3 linked regions of the Caenorhabditis elegans genome follow. The protein of the gene in region 2 purifies or fractionates together with the protein of the main gene of each other region. This does not show direct contact. Each region holds a gene or a part of one and is shown on either strand. Other genes may lie near its edges.

The links.
Region 1: the proteins of R05A10.2 (region 2) and fbxc-51 fractionate together in Caenorhabditis elegans (co-fractionation; one large-scale study listed by BioGRID). This does not show direct contact.
Region 3: the proteins of R05A10.2 (region 2) and rnp-9 fractionate together in Caenorhabditis elegans (co-fractionation; one large-scale study listed by BioGRID). This does not show direct contact.

Annotation. Positions count from the first base shown.
Region 1 is NC_003280.10:867,043-872,293, reverse strand, and holds fbxc-51 (F-box C protein), read right to left. Parts: upstream 3,481-5,251; 5' UTR 3,464-3,480; coding exon 3,396-3,463; intron 3,043-3,395; coding exon 2,657-3,042; intron 2,489-2,656; coding exon 1,591-2,488; intron 870-1,590; coding exon 695-869; 3' UTR 595-694; downstream 1-594.
Region 2 is NC_003282.8:14,175,616-14,179,512, forward strand, and holds R05A10.2 (Secreted phosphoprotein 1), read left to right. Parts: upstream 1-1,655; 5' UTR 1,656-1,668; coding exon 1,669-1,836; intron 1,837-1,902; exon of another isoform or gene 1,903-1,927; intron 1,928-1,972; exon of another isoform or gene 1,973-1,993; intron 1,994-2,073; exon of another isoform or gene 2,074-2,094; intron 2,095-2,186; exon of another isoform or gene 2,187-2,210; intron 2,211-2,369; coding exon 2,370-2,564; intron 2,565-2,585; exon of another isoform or gene 2,586-2,606; intron 2,607-2,889; exon of another isoform or gene 2,890-2,911; intron 2,912-2,977; exon of another isoform or gene 2,978-2,998; intron 2,999-3,081; coding exon 3,082-3,204; 3' UTR 3,205-3,325; downstream 3,326-3,897. Other genes in the region: R05A10.3 (DUF148 domain-containing protein), read right to left, coding at 1-253, 741-858.
Region 3 is NC_003284.9:10,165,401-10,172,270, forward strand, and holds rnp-9 (RRM domain-containing protein), read left to right. Parts: upstream 1-1,904; 5' UTR 1,905-2,053; intron 2,054-2,643; 5' UTR 2,644-2,652; coding exon 2,653-2,751; intron 2,752-2,802; coding exon 2,803-2,895; intron 2,896-3,039; coding exon 3,040-3,100; intron 3,101-3,578; coding exon 3,579-3,666; intron 3,667-3,993; coding exon 3,994-4,069; intron 4,070-4,147; coding exon 4,148-4,267; intron 4,268-4,313; coding exon 4,314-4,380; intron 4,381-5,535; coding exon 5,536-5,723; intron 5,724-5,777; coding exon 5,778-5,924; 3' UTR 5,925-6,293; downstream 6,294-6,870.

The sequences.
Region 1 (5,251 bases), on a different chromosome or scaffold from region 2:
GCAGGTGCCTCTTCCCAAAGCTGACCTGATCCACCTCAGAGGTCTTTTCTTCCCAGTAGACATGTGTAGATCAAAACAATACCTCAGAGGTCTTTTCTTCTAAGTAGACATGTGCATGAAGTCAGTGGTGCAGTGAGCCCGAAAGATCCTGATCGCCAATGTTATATATTCGAGGCCGAACAAGGAGGCGAAGACGAGTAGTTTATTATTACATAACTAAGGAATAAATAGAAAGTTAGTATACATAGATAATGAGTTCACGTTACACGATCTTCATATCCACGTTAAGGGTAAGGTACACGTAGATACCCAACATTTTTTATTAGCTTTGATGCTTTTGGAGATATTTAAGTTTTAAAATTGATAAAAATCAGGTAACCTGTCCCTACTTAGAGCTATCATAACTATGCTCAAAGTTGAGCTACAAAAAATTTGTAAATTAACAACTTATAGAACAATTTGCGTAGATTATTTTGTTAATTGACAATCTTTTGCTAACTTTTGTAGATTTACAGATATTCAGATTTTAAAATATACCACCTTCGTTGAGCCGGTAACTAGCAAAATATAGAAAAATTTAGGAACATTTTTAGTACCAAAAAAACATTTTATTAAAATCCACGCAACAAATTTCAGATTATCAAAAACACGACAACAAGACATAATTGAAAAAAAAAATTAGCAAATTGAAAAATCAGTCCTCCAATGGTAAAGCGCTTCCAATTGGCATCACTTCGAAGACCAGGCACCAACTGACATGTGGCATAAACTCCAAAGGGTCCAAGTTTTCAGTTCTCTTCTTACCGTAGACATTAAGCTCGGATTCATAGGTCAGCGGGATGTTGAAGCAGTGAGGGAATTCGGTGCAGCTGGAAAAAAAGGAAAATTTGGGAAGAGTCCAACTTTGGAAGTTTATAAACTAGTATGTACATTAGATAATTTTAGAATATTTAATAAAAAATTATAGTGAAAGTAATATTTATTATTTTGCCAGTAAACAATTTTCCATCAAGATATAAGCCTCCATAGTTGAGGTGTAATGCTAAACTTCAAAAAAAAATTTTTGCATAAAATCGAACCTGCGCGCCGCAGAACAGGTTCTGCCACAGAAAAATTTGAAATTGTAAGTCAGAATTTTTGCAACGCATTTGCAACACGAAAGTTTTTGTAAAAGTTGTTAGAAATTTGAGTTTTAGTTTTTGGATAATTTTGCAAAAAAAAAACAACTAATTTCGAAAGAGCATAACTCAAAAACCCAACTACTTTCATAAAATTGCTCAACTGCAAAACCGTTGCAAATAATAGCATCTACAATCTTGTAGTTGACAACTTTCCACTAGCTCTACCAGGAGAAAAGTTACAGCGGCCGACACTTCACGGGCTTTTGAAAAGTTCGAAAAAGCACAAGTGAGGTAGTTTGTATCTATTTAAAGAGCCTCAAACTCAAATTTCGATGTATTACATATCAGTGCAATGTTCAAATAAAAACTAAATGAAGATTTTTTGTCGACTTTTCCCTAAAAACATGGTGCATCGGAGCTCCAAATTTCCAGCTGGTGCATCGATGCATCCTGAATTTTGCGAACTTACTCTACTCCCTCCATCCTCTTGCTCACAACCATCGGATGATCCCCGAGCAAGTTCAATGTGGATTGGGTGGCGTGATACTGCTTAACACCAAACGTAAAGCAGGTCCCAATACTCTTCGGTGTCTCGATCCAATTATCAATCAGCTGCACATAGTCATGATGGAACAGTGGACTATGAAGCATGTAGACATTCTTCTGTGGAAGCTTCAGTAGGAAAGGGATCCAGGCAAAGTTCTCCCCAAACATTTTCTCAGTTCCGATAACCAGACGCTGGGTGGCATGGATAACTGGGTGGTCGTGCTCTAGAGGCATATGCAAGCTCTTGAAAGGCAGAGTGCTCTCGTGGAAAATACTGTTCAGACCATCCCAAAGCAGTCCGAACTCCGTACCAAATCTCATATTGGAAACTTTCACTTTAAAATTCTCGGGGAGTCGGTAGACCCCACCTGCATCACCAAGCTCCAGGGTCTTTATCACAATTGGGTGAGCTCTTTTTCCGAACAACTTCTCTGTGATATACTTCATCGCATCATACATTTTCTTGTTATAATCCAGATACTCAATGATCCCATGGAAAGTCTCCCTGTCCCGCCTGAAGTCTAAGTTCATCCTTTGGAATCTGATGCCAAATCTGTATGGAGCTGGTTCATTTTCCTCTCGCCAGCTGTATGGATTCGTGTATGCTTCGAGTTGGTCGGTGACTGCTGGATCTATGTCTGGCTCGTCTTCGGATTCAGATGCTTCGGATTCTGAAGATGAATAGCGTGCTCTTGGGAGGTAAGCGTCGCCGAGGATACGCCGGATCTGAGCTTCCTGGGGGTCATCGTCTTCATCATCTGATCCTTCTGCTGGAAGATCTTCTGCTTCATCCTCATCATCTTCGGAAGAGCTTTCAGGGTCTGAAAAATATATTTTTGAGATTTTCCGAAACAAAAATTGGCCGCCGAAACACTTTAAGCTATCATATTTCAGCTAGAAATCAAGCTATCACAAATTTGTCAACTGAGATAGTGCTCTAAATTTTCTTAAACAGCAGCCGACATATCACTGGACTCCTTATCACCTACCTTCCCTCTGCTGCACCTGCATCCGCCCCTGTGGTCTTATAAAATCCCGCATTGCAAATTGCAACATCTCCATTGTCATATCCTCCATATTATTAATTTTTTCCTTGCTTTCAACTTTCAAATCTCCAGGGCTCAAAACCTCATTGCAGCGGGGATCCTTAAGCCCATACTGATCCATATCATAGGCAGCACCTCCATCTAAGTTCACATTGTTGATATATGGACTATAGTAGACATGGTCTTTCGGTAGGTGGCGGAGCAGTCCTAACGTGTACCTATGTCGGTTGATTCGGATGACACGGGGATTCATGTAGAGCTTGTAGATGTGGAGGGGAGCAGCTTTGTCGGCTGCTTTTAGGGAGTCACATCGTTCCACTAATTTAAATCTGGAATATTTTAAGTAGGTTGATAGGTGTTTAAAAGTAAAAATAATATTGGTAGCTGCCCCACTTCTAGGAACGGCTCAAAATTTGAGCAAAACATGGTTCATCGACAGAAAATTGCTTAAGTTATTATACTTCTACCGAAGCCCGTTTTAATAAATTTTTACACAAAGAAAATTGAATTTTGAGCTGTTAAAGTTGAGGAAAACATGATGCATCGACTGTAAATTTATCAACTTTTGCTCTGAAAAAGTAACCTACTAAAATATATTCCAAACTCTTTTTAAACTTTAATAGCTTTTCAAAAACTTTTTTCAGCTCTACAATCAGAATTCCAAAAAAAAATAAAAGCATACCTCCTATTAGCTTCAAAGAACTGTAGTACACATTTCTGGCACTCATATGGGAGTGGTGTTAAGCTCATATGTAGGTATTTATTACCTGTAAAAAAGTGGGAAATTGGTGCGAAAAGTGAGAAAAACGTTGAAAGAAACGAGAAAATTGTGAAAAACTGACAAAAAATGACTATGATCTAGTAAACAAATTTCCAAAAAGTAGTAAAGCTGCATTCGAAAGTAGTAAAATATTGCCAGAGTGTAGCCAAAAATAGCAAAATTTCAACGAAAATATAAAAAAATAGTCGAAAAATAGCTAGAAATAGTCCAAAAATTGTCAGAAATCGGACAAAACAGCCAAAAAATAGTTCAAAACTTGTGGAAAATACCCAATAATTGTCCGTCTTCCCCCTATTACATACCCCCGTTGGAGAGGCAATAGGGACCATTAGACTACCCTAAATAACTAGGTGACCTCTGTCCATCTGTCGCAGACGGGGCGGGAATGTTTATCTCTGTTGACCTTGAGCATCGGTCCTCTATAGAGAGCCTACACGTACCCGGACTACTTGATGTGAATGGAGAATTAGAATAAAAGAGATTCTATAGATTTTTTTTGTGAAAAATTAGTTCAAAAGCTCATAACTCCGCTGAAAATTGAGCTATTGAAAAGTTGTCAACTACAAAAATATTTCAAATTAATTTTCAAACATTTTGTTGGTGGAAAACTTTTTGCTAGCTCAACTTTCAGCTGAGTTATGATATTTTTAAGTTGGTATTTGAAAAATTTTCATGTGAAAAATCAATTGAGGCTTCTATTTGACAAACTATTTTAGGGTAGAGGGGGGCAAGAATCATGCTGGTTTGGACCAAATCTGACCTTGATACTAATATGTTGTTTACAACATTTGCCGTGTTTGCAAAAAAAAAACAGGCAGAAAATTAACTTTACGCTGGAAAATTGGTAGATATTGGGTCGCCAAAAATGCGAAAAAAAGAATGAAAATTGATCTTCAGTGCCCTTTTATTCGGGTTTATCATGGTGCATTAGCACAGGCTTCCATTTCAAAATTGGCCACATCCATTGAGATGTCGGATGCTGACTTTAATATCAACTTTGTTTGCAGCCGACACTTTCCCGGTTCCTTTCAAAATGTCGAAACAGTAGAAGACATCTCACAAGATTTTTCAAGCTTGTATTAACAAAAAATCAACCAAGAACCGCAGCCGACATTTCCGGGCTTTCAAGTGTTCCTATATTAAATCCGTAAATTGCACACTTGACAGAAATAAAAAATAAGGGCACGTTTTCGACATGAGGTGTCCCGAGAAATGTGACTGCACTTTGAGAACTTATATCTTAGCTTAGGATTGGCGTTTTTTTTTGAGCAATTTGTTTCAATAGCTCCAATCATATTGAGGACCGCACTTTTTGAACATTATGGCCACTTTTAACCTCAGCAGGACAGGCCAAATGCTATTTCATTTCACTCAAATCCAAAAATCAGGGATAAGGGCTGCCTGCTTACTCTTAGAAACTTTAGGCTTTTTCTATCCCTACTTCCAGCAGAGCAGGCTGGAGGACTTTTATGAGACTACGTCTGTATTTGAAAAGATCAGTTAATTCGGATTGAGGGCTGCAGGCCCAAATACACATAGAAGTATTGGACAATCTTTAAGCCTACTCTGAGCCCAATAATCCAGGTTGAGGGCCGCAGGCCCGAATACACGGATAGAAAAGACCCAGAAATAATATTATCTCAAATGACCATGGCTCAATCAGTTTTCATTCAAAATGATCAAAATTTTCCCGAGTTTTCCAACTTAAACTACTGCGAAGCCTAGCGCGCTTGACGCGCTAGTCAACAGCGTGGAAA
Region 2 (3,897 bases):
GGGGTTGTTGGACCAGTGATATCATCTTCTCCATTTGTATCATCTTCTAGTTTAGCATATTCTGCAGGGTCTACTGGAGGCATTGTTGATTGTTCTGGTACGCCGGGCTCCATACCTTCCATGACTGGAAGTTCTGGACCGGATCCAGAACTTCCGGGCTCATCAACAGGCATCGGTAGAATCATTGGACCACCCGAGTTCTCCGGAAAAGTCGATTCGTTCTTTGAAGCTGATCCATCAGTGCCGGAGTTTTCTGTAATTTACTTTGTTCAGTTAGACTCTTAATTAGACTAAAAACGGTCTCAAAAAGTATAATTTCATAATGAGACACCTTTAAAAATTCTACGTTTTTATGGCGATTGAAAGTTTTGCAGAGAAACAAATACTTATTTTCAGTCAAAATCTTCAAAAAAGCTCCGTTTTGTTACTATCAGACTAAACATCATTTATCAAATATGACAAAATTAATCAAGTACATGAAACAGTAGTCAATTAATCACAAAAAAATTAATTTTTGAAATTTTTTTAGAGAATTGGTTTTAACGTTTTCTTAAAATCGTTAAATTACCTTACTAATAGAGGAAAGAGGTTTTCTTAAAAGTTATTTTTCAAAAGCGGTGACACAGACAATTTAGCAAAATTCAAGATTTTAATAGAGGAAAGAGTGGGAAGCGTGGAACCAAAACTTTAATAGATGCCAAACTTAACAATTTACTGAAACAATATTTTGTCCAACTCACCATCTTCCAGTGATCCATGAAGCAACCCCACCAAAATCGATAACAGTATAATATTTAGGTGTCGCATTAAAATTTGTTGAAAAATTGTTAGAAATAATGTACACGACCGCGACCCCATAAGGGATTTACGAGCGGATTATTGGAAGATTTTTGTGAAACTATTAAACCAACTGTGGACAGGTAGTCTTTTTTCATTCGGTTACAATTTGGTTTTTAGCTTTTTTTTAAACAAGAACATTTTGTTCCCGTTTCATGGTTTTTATGTAACGAATGAAGAATTTTGTCTGATGCTATGTTGTTCTCGGAATGGTTGCTTAATTTATATTTTTGATGATTATGTATTTTAAAACTAAGTTAACAAGATTTGTATTCAAAAAGATGTGTTCAAGAAATATAGACCGCTCTTCTCATATAACAGTAGAGTAAAACTCCAATACCTTCTAAAAAGACATTGAAACTTTCAATTTTTAGTTTAAGAATCCGACTGTTTCTTGCTCCTAATATTTTTAGAGGATGTGAAAATATATCTGCTCCACTGTTGAACTACTTTCCAAATAAAATGAAGACGATTTGAAAATGGCTGAACAATTTGAAGCGGTTTTTCATGAAATACATACAGAAAGACAAGTGTACTCATTAATTTCTTAATTTTTATATTTTCATATCCAGCTGTTGAAAGAGTATTTATTTTTCATTCACTAAAATTATTCAAATCACGAATTTTAGTCCATAGTGACTAAAATACAGGGGGGATTACATCCAATACCTCCGTTATGATCCTCTCATTCAAAAGTACAACCAATTCGACAAAAAACTAAAAAACCGGTCATCCCGTCCTGTCATCATAACTATCCTCACTCTTACTCATCCGACCATTTATCCAGTTACTAGTCAGATCTACTAAAAGTTTTGTTCAGAAACTAAAATGATGTCGAAACTCGTACATTTTGTGTTCTTTTTGTCAATTGCTCTTCATGTAATTGCTCGTGCAACTGAATCCTCGGAATCCGATACTATGGAGTCTTCGAGGTCTTCTTCGTCGGAGGAAATGAGATATAATGAGGATTTAGAAGATTTGGTGAAAGTGGATGCTGGTGTGAGTTTTCAAATTTTCTGGAAATACCAACTTGCCAAAGTCACTCTATTTTAGTAGTCAGTTTTTAATTGCCGTGTTTGGAGGAAACTAACTCATCTTATAACAGTTGAACTAATTTCTGAGGAACGTGAAACTGTCCAAATGATTCCGCGCGAAAACAAAAAACCTTCCAAAAATGAAAATTTCCAATTTTCTAGAAATGGCAAATGACATTGCAGGTTCGGAAAATTTTATAATTCTTTTCAATAAGCGGGCTCAATACATTTCAAAATAGTTGAAAGTTATAAAAACACACATAAGCAGTAGATTTTTTCTCAAGCTAAAGTGTAATAAGAGTGGTTAATTTAAAGTAAAGAAAACGTTGTTCAGAACTACTAACAAGTTTGCAATATTCACAATTTACCAACTATTTGAAACTGTAAATTTTCTTAAATAATTAAAATATTATTATGTTTCAAAGTACTGTAAATACATTTTAAAGCAAATCCGTACAAATGCTAAAGTGTTTTCAAATTCAAAACTCTAATTTTCAGAACTCAACAATCGAAGAAGTGAAAGATTCTTCTGAAAATTCCAAAAAATCTGGAGAAATTGAAGTGAAAAAAGCTGACAAGCCAGCTGCAGAGAACGATCTGGAGAAATTTGATAAAGGATTGAATTCTGATAAGAAGGAGTACGTTCAGAAAAGATCCCATGTTGATTCGATTTCAACTAACTCTACGGAAAATGTAAGTTGGAATTAAGTGAGCGCTTTTAGTAAAATCATGGCAATATTTATGCCAAAGACGTTGTGCTTTACAGACACCTTGAACCAGTAGAATTTTTTCAAGTGGTTATATTTAAGTATAATTATTAATGAAAAACTGTTCTGAAATTTGAAAAATAAAATGTTATAAAAATTTATGTGGCTGAAAAACTAGATTGATCGACTAGTAATAAATAAACACCTTGAAAAAAAAAATCAAAAATTCTAGTAAAGACAAAAAACGAAAAACTAATTTCCAATTGCCGAAAACTATAATTACCACACTTTATTTAACCAAAAAATTTGTTCATTGTTCAAAACCTCTTTAAACTATCTATAAAATATTTCGACTGTTTCATATAACTTATTTAAAACTGTCGAAATAATCCCGTTTGGTAACATATATTTCTGATTAAAAAAAAAATGCAAAATGAAGGTTTCCAATAAAATAACTGTTTCACGATTCTTATTAAGCAGTTTTGATGCTTTTTGTTTTCCAGCTATCCGACGATGAAATGGATGTAATGGCTCATCTCAACAAGACAATGGACAGTGAAGAGGATATGCAGAAGAACAATGAAACTGTTCTTGGAATTGATACTTTTGGGGCGCCGGGGATTTAAATTTTGATTTTTTTTTGACTTTTTTATTTGGTTTTAAACTATAAAAAAAAGATGAGAAACATAGTTGAATGGGAAATTTGATTTTTTTTTTAATATTTTGAAAAATAAATATTTCTGTTGCAGTCACTTATTAATAGTTGTGAATCATAAACGTAGGTCAATGTTTGTAATTTCTTGAGAAACCAGCGCCAAAAAAATGAAGGCATAGATTAGCTCTTTTAGTTAATGACCGCAGAATCAAAAGCTAGGGACGTCGAAAGCTAACTGGATATTATTGGGAAAACGGGGTCAACAGACAAACCAGGAACCATCAATCGAAAAATACAAAAAAAAACGTTTTTTGTGCATAAATTAATCAGGAAATACTAAATAGGAGTTTGTCGAATTAAATTTTTGTGAAAACATTTTTTACTCATACATTTTCGCTAACTCAATTAATTCGTATTATTTTTTTGTTCCCCATTTGGACTGTTCGCAAGAGTCCCTGATTCTTTAAATATTTTGTCGCCCAACAAAAAAGTTTTATAAAAATTTAAACTTCAAACTTTCCAACACCAAAACAACCGTGACATCACTGATACTATAATTTGACGAAATTGTTCTCAAAAACTAGTTTTCAATTCTATTCCAGTGTTAAGAACAACACAACAACATCAATGACTTTTCTTCACAACGGTCAGATTTATATGAATT
Region 3 (6,870 bases), on a different chromosome or scaffold from region 2:
TTTATGAAAACTGACTAATCAAGAGCCATGCCTTCTCCCTTTTTTACACTTTTCCATAGTTTATATCAACACATTGCATGGTATACAGATTGATATTTGCGATTGAATAAAATAAACATTTGAAGGTGTAAACTGGTCAGTTTGCTCTTGCTCATTCTGCTATTTGGTTTTACCCTTTTTTTCAAATTGATAAGACTTCTTTAAATTAGAAGTTTAATTTTTTGAAAAGATTTGTTTCCAAATAATGCTTAATTAACGTATAAATGGAAACATACTTTTTTTTCAAAATTTAAGGATATAGTACACAAATACATACTGCTTCAGAATGTTCAACCATTTAAGGATACATTTGATTCAAGTAATTTTAATAATTAATTTTTTTGTTTGTATGTAATTTATACAAATCAGAAAATGTTGGTCGTTTACAGATTGAGTCATCTTATTGTTTTTAATCATTGATCTTCGTGACAAAAATGCCGCTCGTTTCCCAAAAATCTATTCCCTTTTTGGAATACGCCATCAAGGCGGATTTTCAATCTTGAAGTATCATTTCCTGAAGTTTTGATATAAGAATAAAATATTATAATTGTAAACTTTATTGATTACAAATCGATTTTGAAGTTGATATTCTTGTTTAACATTTTAATCCTGAAAACACATTAACAAGAAACGTGCTTCATTTGCGCTAAAGTTTTTATCTTTGAAAAAGTCAATGGACTAACATTTTTAGCTACCTGCTTTTAACTACTATTAAGCTTAAGCGATTCGAAAAATTACGGTCTTCACGTCTGTCACTGTGAAACTCTTTTTCTCCTATTTGTAATGTTCTTCACCTAATAAACTGGTGGTTGTATCGATTTGTTGTTCGTCTTCCTTTCCAATACGAATCTGATTGTTATTGTTCAAAAAAGGAACATTTTTATTTCCTCTCGGCTGACTCCGTGCACACTGTCTATTCCTCCCTATTCACAAGCATTAAAACATTCTTTGTTCGTGTCCACCGTTGTCTATTTTTTTTGCCTTCTGCTAAAAGCTCTTTCAGATGCATGAATCTATGAATTTAGGTGTCTCGATTTGGTGCGAGACCCTATTCTCACAGTTGAAGACATTTTCCGCCTTTTTTTATGGGGCCCATGCCTCTCTCAAATATCATTTGTTTATTCCATTTTGCGTATTACCGCTATTCAGCCACACGAACCCTCTAGTGCATTCGTTGCTCATTTTTCGAGTGAGACTAATGGACTACTACTAGATGAATAGGAAAATGAAAATGGAAGAATCCTGAGCTCTCTTACATGAAGAATGACAACGTATAAAAAAGTCAAAGGAAAGGAAAGGTGCTCAAGCTAGATGAGAAGAATAAAAGGAGGTCACAAGGGGTGGGCACTCGGTAAATCTCAAATCTGGTGGGAATGGATGGTAAAATCACAAGAATGAAACGACGTTCCGCTCTTGAGCCCATCGTGAGAAACAACACTGGATGGGTTAAATGTGGAGTCCGGTCTTAGCTCCCAAGTTTGTTGCACATTTTTTCCTTCCCTTCCTTTCCATCCTCTTATTCGCATTTTTCTTGTTTCCGACATAGTCTACACCTCAATATATTCTATTGTTTTCGACTTTCTTAATTAGTTCTCCACCCAATTCCCCTTGGGACAAGGCGGAGCACATCACTCTGCTACAAGAAGATGCTCGGCCATGAAAAATGAATATTGCACCTTCTTCCTCCTTCTACTTTTTTATTTTTTGACTCATTTTCCGGTTATATTCCTTGCCACATTTTTCCATTTATCGATAATCCATTATCACAGTTTAGTTACCTTGTTAGTTTCGCGAGGGATTTGAAAACAAATCTCTTGGCTCTGTTTTTGCTCTTATTTTTCAATGGGAATGCTAATCCGATTCACAGCGTTTTTCCAGGAACATTTGCATTCTTCTCACATTTAAACAAGTCCTGGAACACCACAGTGGTGTTAGTACACAATTCAAGCTGAAACGATCACAGGACCTCATCTCCGTACACGAAGCCGAATATGGTTCGGCTCAGCAGGCGAAGGTAGGTGACTTTTTAGAAATTGAAAGCAATTCGTTGGTACTAAAACCGAGGGCAGTACAAGAACATTAGCATGTGCTTGTAATAAGCCATGTAATTGTTATTCCCTTTTTTTGCTCATAATAGGTAATGCAAATTTGCAATAGATTTTTTAATTGCCACATTCCCGTCAGTAATTTTCCTGGCAAAGAAAAGGAACACAATCTGATCAATCATAAAAAAGAAAGGTGGTTTACAATTCTAAATAAATACAAATGGATAATGCATCTGGTTTCTGTAGAAATAGTGACGTGAACGTTGTTAAGTATGTTCAACAATTGATTTTCTCAAGTTGTCAGAAATATTTAAGTTGTTGCTTTTCCAAATGTTAAGCAGAGAAAAAACAACACTTTTAGTTAAAACAAGCTTCCCAAAACTAAGTTTTATTACATATTGTCTGAATTCACAGGTTAACTGATATGTTTCGAACGATTTTTTAGAAGCAATCACGTGCAATTTTGAGATTATTCTTTCTAGATTAGTCTTTCATATTGATTCTTTCTGAAAAATTGAACTTTGTCAAAACACAGAAATGTTTAAAACAGTCCTTGCAGAAAGCACTCATGTGCTTACCAACTGCGACTCCTCAGACATCCTTGCTTTACTCTCAACAAATGCCTATGAAAAACCTATACTCGCAGTTCCCGGCAGGTTTATTAGACGTAGGTTGATCGGATATTGTGCAACTCAATAATTCATATACCTGTGTTCAGACACAGTCGATTCAATCCTTGGACACATGTCCTCTGCTTCTCCAGACCGCCAGCCTTCCTTCTTTGTCACACATCGGTCTTCCACACTCTTTGGTTTGTTCATTTGCCCATTTCCGCTTATTTCGCACCCTTCTTTCCCCCTTTAGTTACCCTTTCCTCTCGCGCCAATCTTTTTGTCCGATCGAAATACATTCAACTAGTACGGATTCTCATTTGGCAAATGCAATTGTGTTGCAGGAATCAGCCGTGTTGCACTCAGCCTCGGAGCCGCCGATGGAGATGCGAATTGATACAAGCAGTGAGTGTAGATTTGCAGATTTGGATGAAAAGTGTGAAAAATGAATTTGTTTGAATCAAAGATCCTATCAATCTTTATTTTTCAATTACTTTTCTGGCGCCGTATTGGTGTCAGGTCATAAGTCAAAATAGCTGTGAAAAAATATGAGACCAAAAAAAGAAGATAAAGATAAGTCATTTGATTGACCTTATCAATCACACAGACGGATTCACTTTTTTTTTTCAAAACCGTTCTGGGTGTTATTGTATTCTTTGGTTGTTCTTATCACCCTTATCAGACAATTCGAGGTTGTTTAGCCTCATAGCTGCTAACCGTTTTTCTTGAAAGTCACACGTTTTTTATCGTTTTTTATGTTCCGTGGTCAAGAATTGGAAAATATGAAACTGACGACCAAGATGAGATGAAATGAAACCATGCGTGCCAGCACTAAAAAAGAAGAAGATTAGCAATGCAATATCATTTCTTTGCTTCTTTTCAGAGCATTTTCATGTTTTTGTCGGGGATTTGAGCAAGGACGTGAGCAATGAGCTTTTAAAATCAACGTTTACAAAATTCGGAGAAGTCAGGTAAATTTGAGGATAAAATACTTAATTTTGCTTGAACACGTTAACACTATACAAAAGAGTTCGAATCAAAAAACAAACAACACCCTCGTCATTTGGATTTAAAAAAACTTACATAACTTATTTTTTTGAGTAACTAGCAATTTTCCATAAAAATTTTTAAAAGAGTATATCGAAACCGTACTTGGCAAAAAAATATCATCATTCCCAAACCGAAATTTAATAAATTTTATGACAAAATATTGAGCAAAACTGAAAGCAATATTCTCCAACCATTGTTAGATTTTTTACCCAATCTTGACATTTATACCGCGGAAGTATTTTTTTCAGTGAAGCTAAAGTGATTCGAGATGTTCAGACTCAGAAATCAAAAGGATACGGATTTGTGTCATTTCCCAACAAACAAGTTAGTTTCTCTCTGTTTTTTTTACGAAGCCCATTGGTCCTATTTATTTTCGTCGAGAAAACTGAGCCTTGTTTTTAGAATGCAGAGAACGCGATAGCCGGAATGAACGGAAAATGGATTGGGAAACGAGCTGTGCGGACCAACTGGGCGGCACGAAAAAACAGCGAGGAGAATCGCGACAAGCTGACTTTTGAACAGGTGAGATGTTGTAACGTTAAATCTCAATAAAACATGACAGCTCCAGGTGTTCAACTCAACGAAAGCCGATAACACGTCAGTTTATGTTGGGAACATAAGTCAACAGACTACAGGTTAGTTATAGGTAGACAGTGTACTTCATATCAGTCATTAAAAAGGAAATAAATAGAGTTTAAGTTTTTGAAATAAAGAAAACAATCTTTAGAATTACATCTATAGTTTCTTCTGAAATTTAAAGAATTGGGAAATTTGCATTAATAGAGAGACCGTATACTGCTCCGGTAACCAATGGTGAAAGTTGTAGTAGCGCTAGTGGGTAAATTGCTAAAAACCAGTTCCATGGGGACTAAATGGCCAAATATTATGGCCAAAAAAATAGTAAAACTTTCCAAAAATTGTTTTGAAAATTTTTTATTGGCAGTTCGCGATCGCTTTAAGTCACTTTTATAGAAAACTACGCACTTTTATAGAAAACTACGCAATCAAACGAAAAAAGTAATTTTACAAATTAAAAAAAATACTTTTACTGAAATATTTCGTCATTGTGGTTCCATATGCATGTTTCAAAGCAATTTCCCCATTGGCTCTACTCCGCAGTGAAACATCGAAGTTTATAATTGTTATAAATTTTATTTGACAAATAATATTGGAAACTTAATTGAAACGTTTATTTTTTTTAGAATTTTTCCAAATCATACTAATATTTTTGATATAGGTTTTCCGTGAAATTTAATTTTTTAAAGTAAACTAGTGTTATTGAGCATTTGGATAATACAAACTGATTTTTAAGAAGTAAGTTGACAGGCGTTGTAATTTTAATTTTGCTAATTTCGCAATGCACATCTATGATACATCTTTGAACAAATTAATAGCAATAGTTTTAAAAAGTTAATGCTCTATCTGATACATTTTACTTGTACTGGTTAAAATGGTATTTTTGCAGGCATTTTTTAATGTTTACAATCAAATTAAGACACTGTAGTTGTTGACAAAACATAAAACCATTAAAAGATCATTTCAATTTCTCGAATGGCCTTATTCGGTAACTTTCCCATAGTTTATTAACAGAGTAAACCAGTTCCATGTCTTTATCTCATTAACAAACTTTCTAACGGATATGAGGCTATCATCATTTTTCCTCATCACATCCTACTGCTTGACACTTCCGCCTGGTAGACAGTGAGAACGTCCCATGAAATTTGATAAATGACTTTCTGCCTTTTATCCTATCACTGCCATATGTTATATCTATGTACATATTTTTATAGACGCTGATCTCCGCGATTTATTCTCAACATATGGTGATATAGCGGAAGTGCGTATTTTCAAAACCCAAAGGTACGCGTTCGTCAGATATGAGAAAAAAGAGTGTGCCACAAAAGCAATAATGGAGATGAATGGAAAGGAGATGGCTGGAAATCAAGTCAGATGTTCCTGGGGAAGAACTCAGGCAGTGGTAATAAATAATCAGTTATCAAATGCTTTGAAAATCACAGTATTTAATTTGCAGCCTAATCAAGCATTAAATCCTCTCCCAATTGATTTGTCATCCTTGATGATGCCTACAATGCTTCCAACTACAATCCCACTAATTCAAAATCCCTTCTTGAACTACGAGCCAGCCACTCTTTTGTACAGTTCCTTCCCACAATGGTGATTAATTTATTAAGACTCTTTAGGAAGAAAATGAAACGCAAAAGGAATAATGAGTCAGAACACGGTTACTTTTTCAAATTTCAAAATATTTAAATTTCCGCTTTTTTGTGAGTGATTCAATGTTTTTTTTTCTTTTTTCGAGTTTCCGGTGTTTCATTTTCCATCACAGTTTTCTTCCTACAAATAGAGGTCCGAGTACATTTTTTCTTGTTCATTTTTAACTTTTCTTCCCGTCTGATGTTTCCTGAGTGGTTCTTTTTACTTCTTTTCTGTCATTTTCCTGCTATTCATATTTTCACATTTTTCACAGAATGATAATCATTTTTGTTTGTGCAAAGGGATTTTAATAAATTATTACAATGGGATAATTGAATGAAAGTTCAAAAGCTGTGTATGTGTGGGAAGGATAGAGAAACATAGAGAGAACTAAAGCATTATGCTATTAATGTTTCAAATCATCATGACTAAGAATGTTCACGTAACAATTTATCTGCTTGACAACACTTTTAGATTATTTGCGAAATTTTTTTTTCAGAAAATTTCAATTCCAAATTACTAAGAAAAAGTTTCAAAACTATTGTTCATTTTACACGTGTCTGCACTTTCAAGATGTTTTCCGGTGATCTCATGATTTGAATAATGTGTCCACCTACACTCATTTTTGTTAGGGTCAGCAAAGTGGTATTCCAAAAACCAAAAACCTGATACTTTGCATTGTCGAATAAAATTGAAATTAAATTTTCAAAGTACAATGTCCTTCTAGGGGCCCACCCATTATTTCATGCGTCATAAGAGTCTGTATGTCTGCTACCAACTATCAGATATAAAGTGACTGTATCTTAACTATACAGCATACTGATTTCACAAATCACTGTGGTCTACCACTATACCATTCTGTAATCTTCTACTACTACTGCTGCCTCCTCCTGACAAGGTCATTGATATCC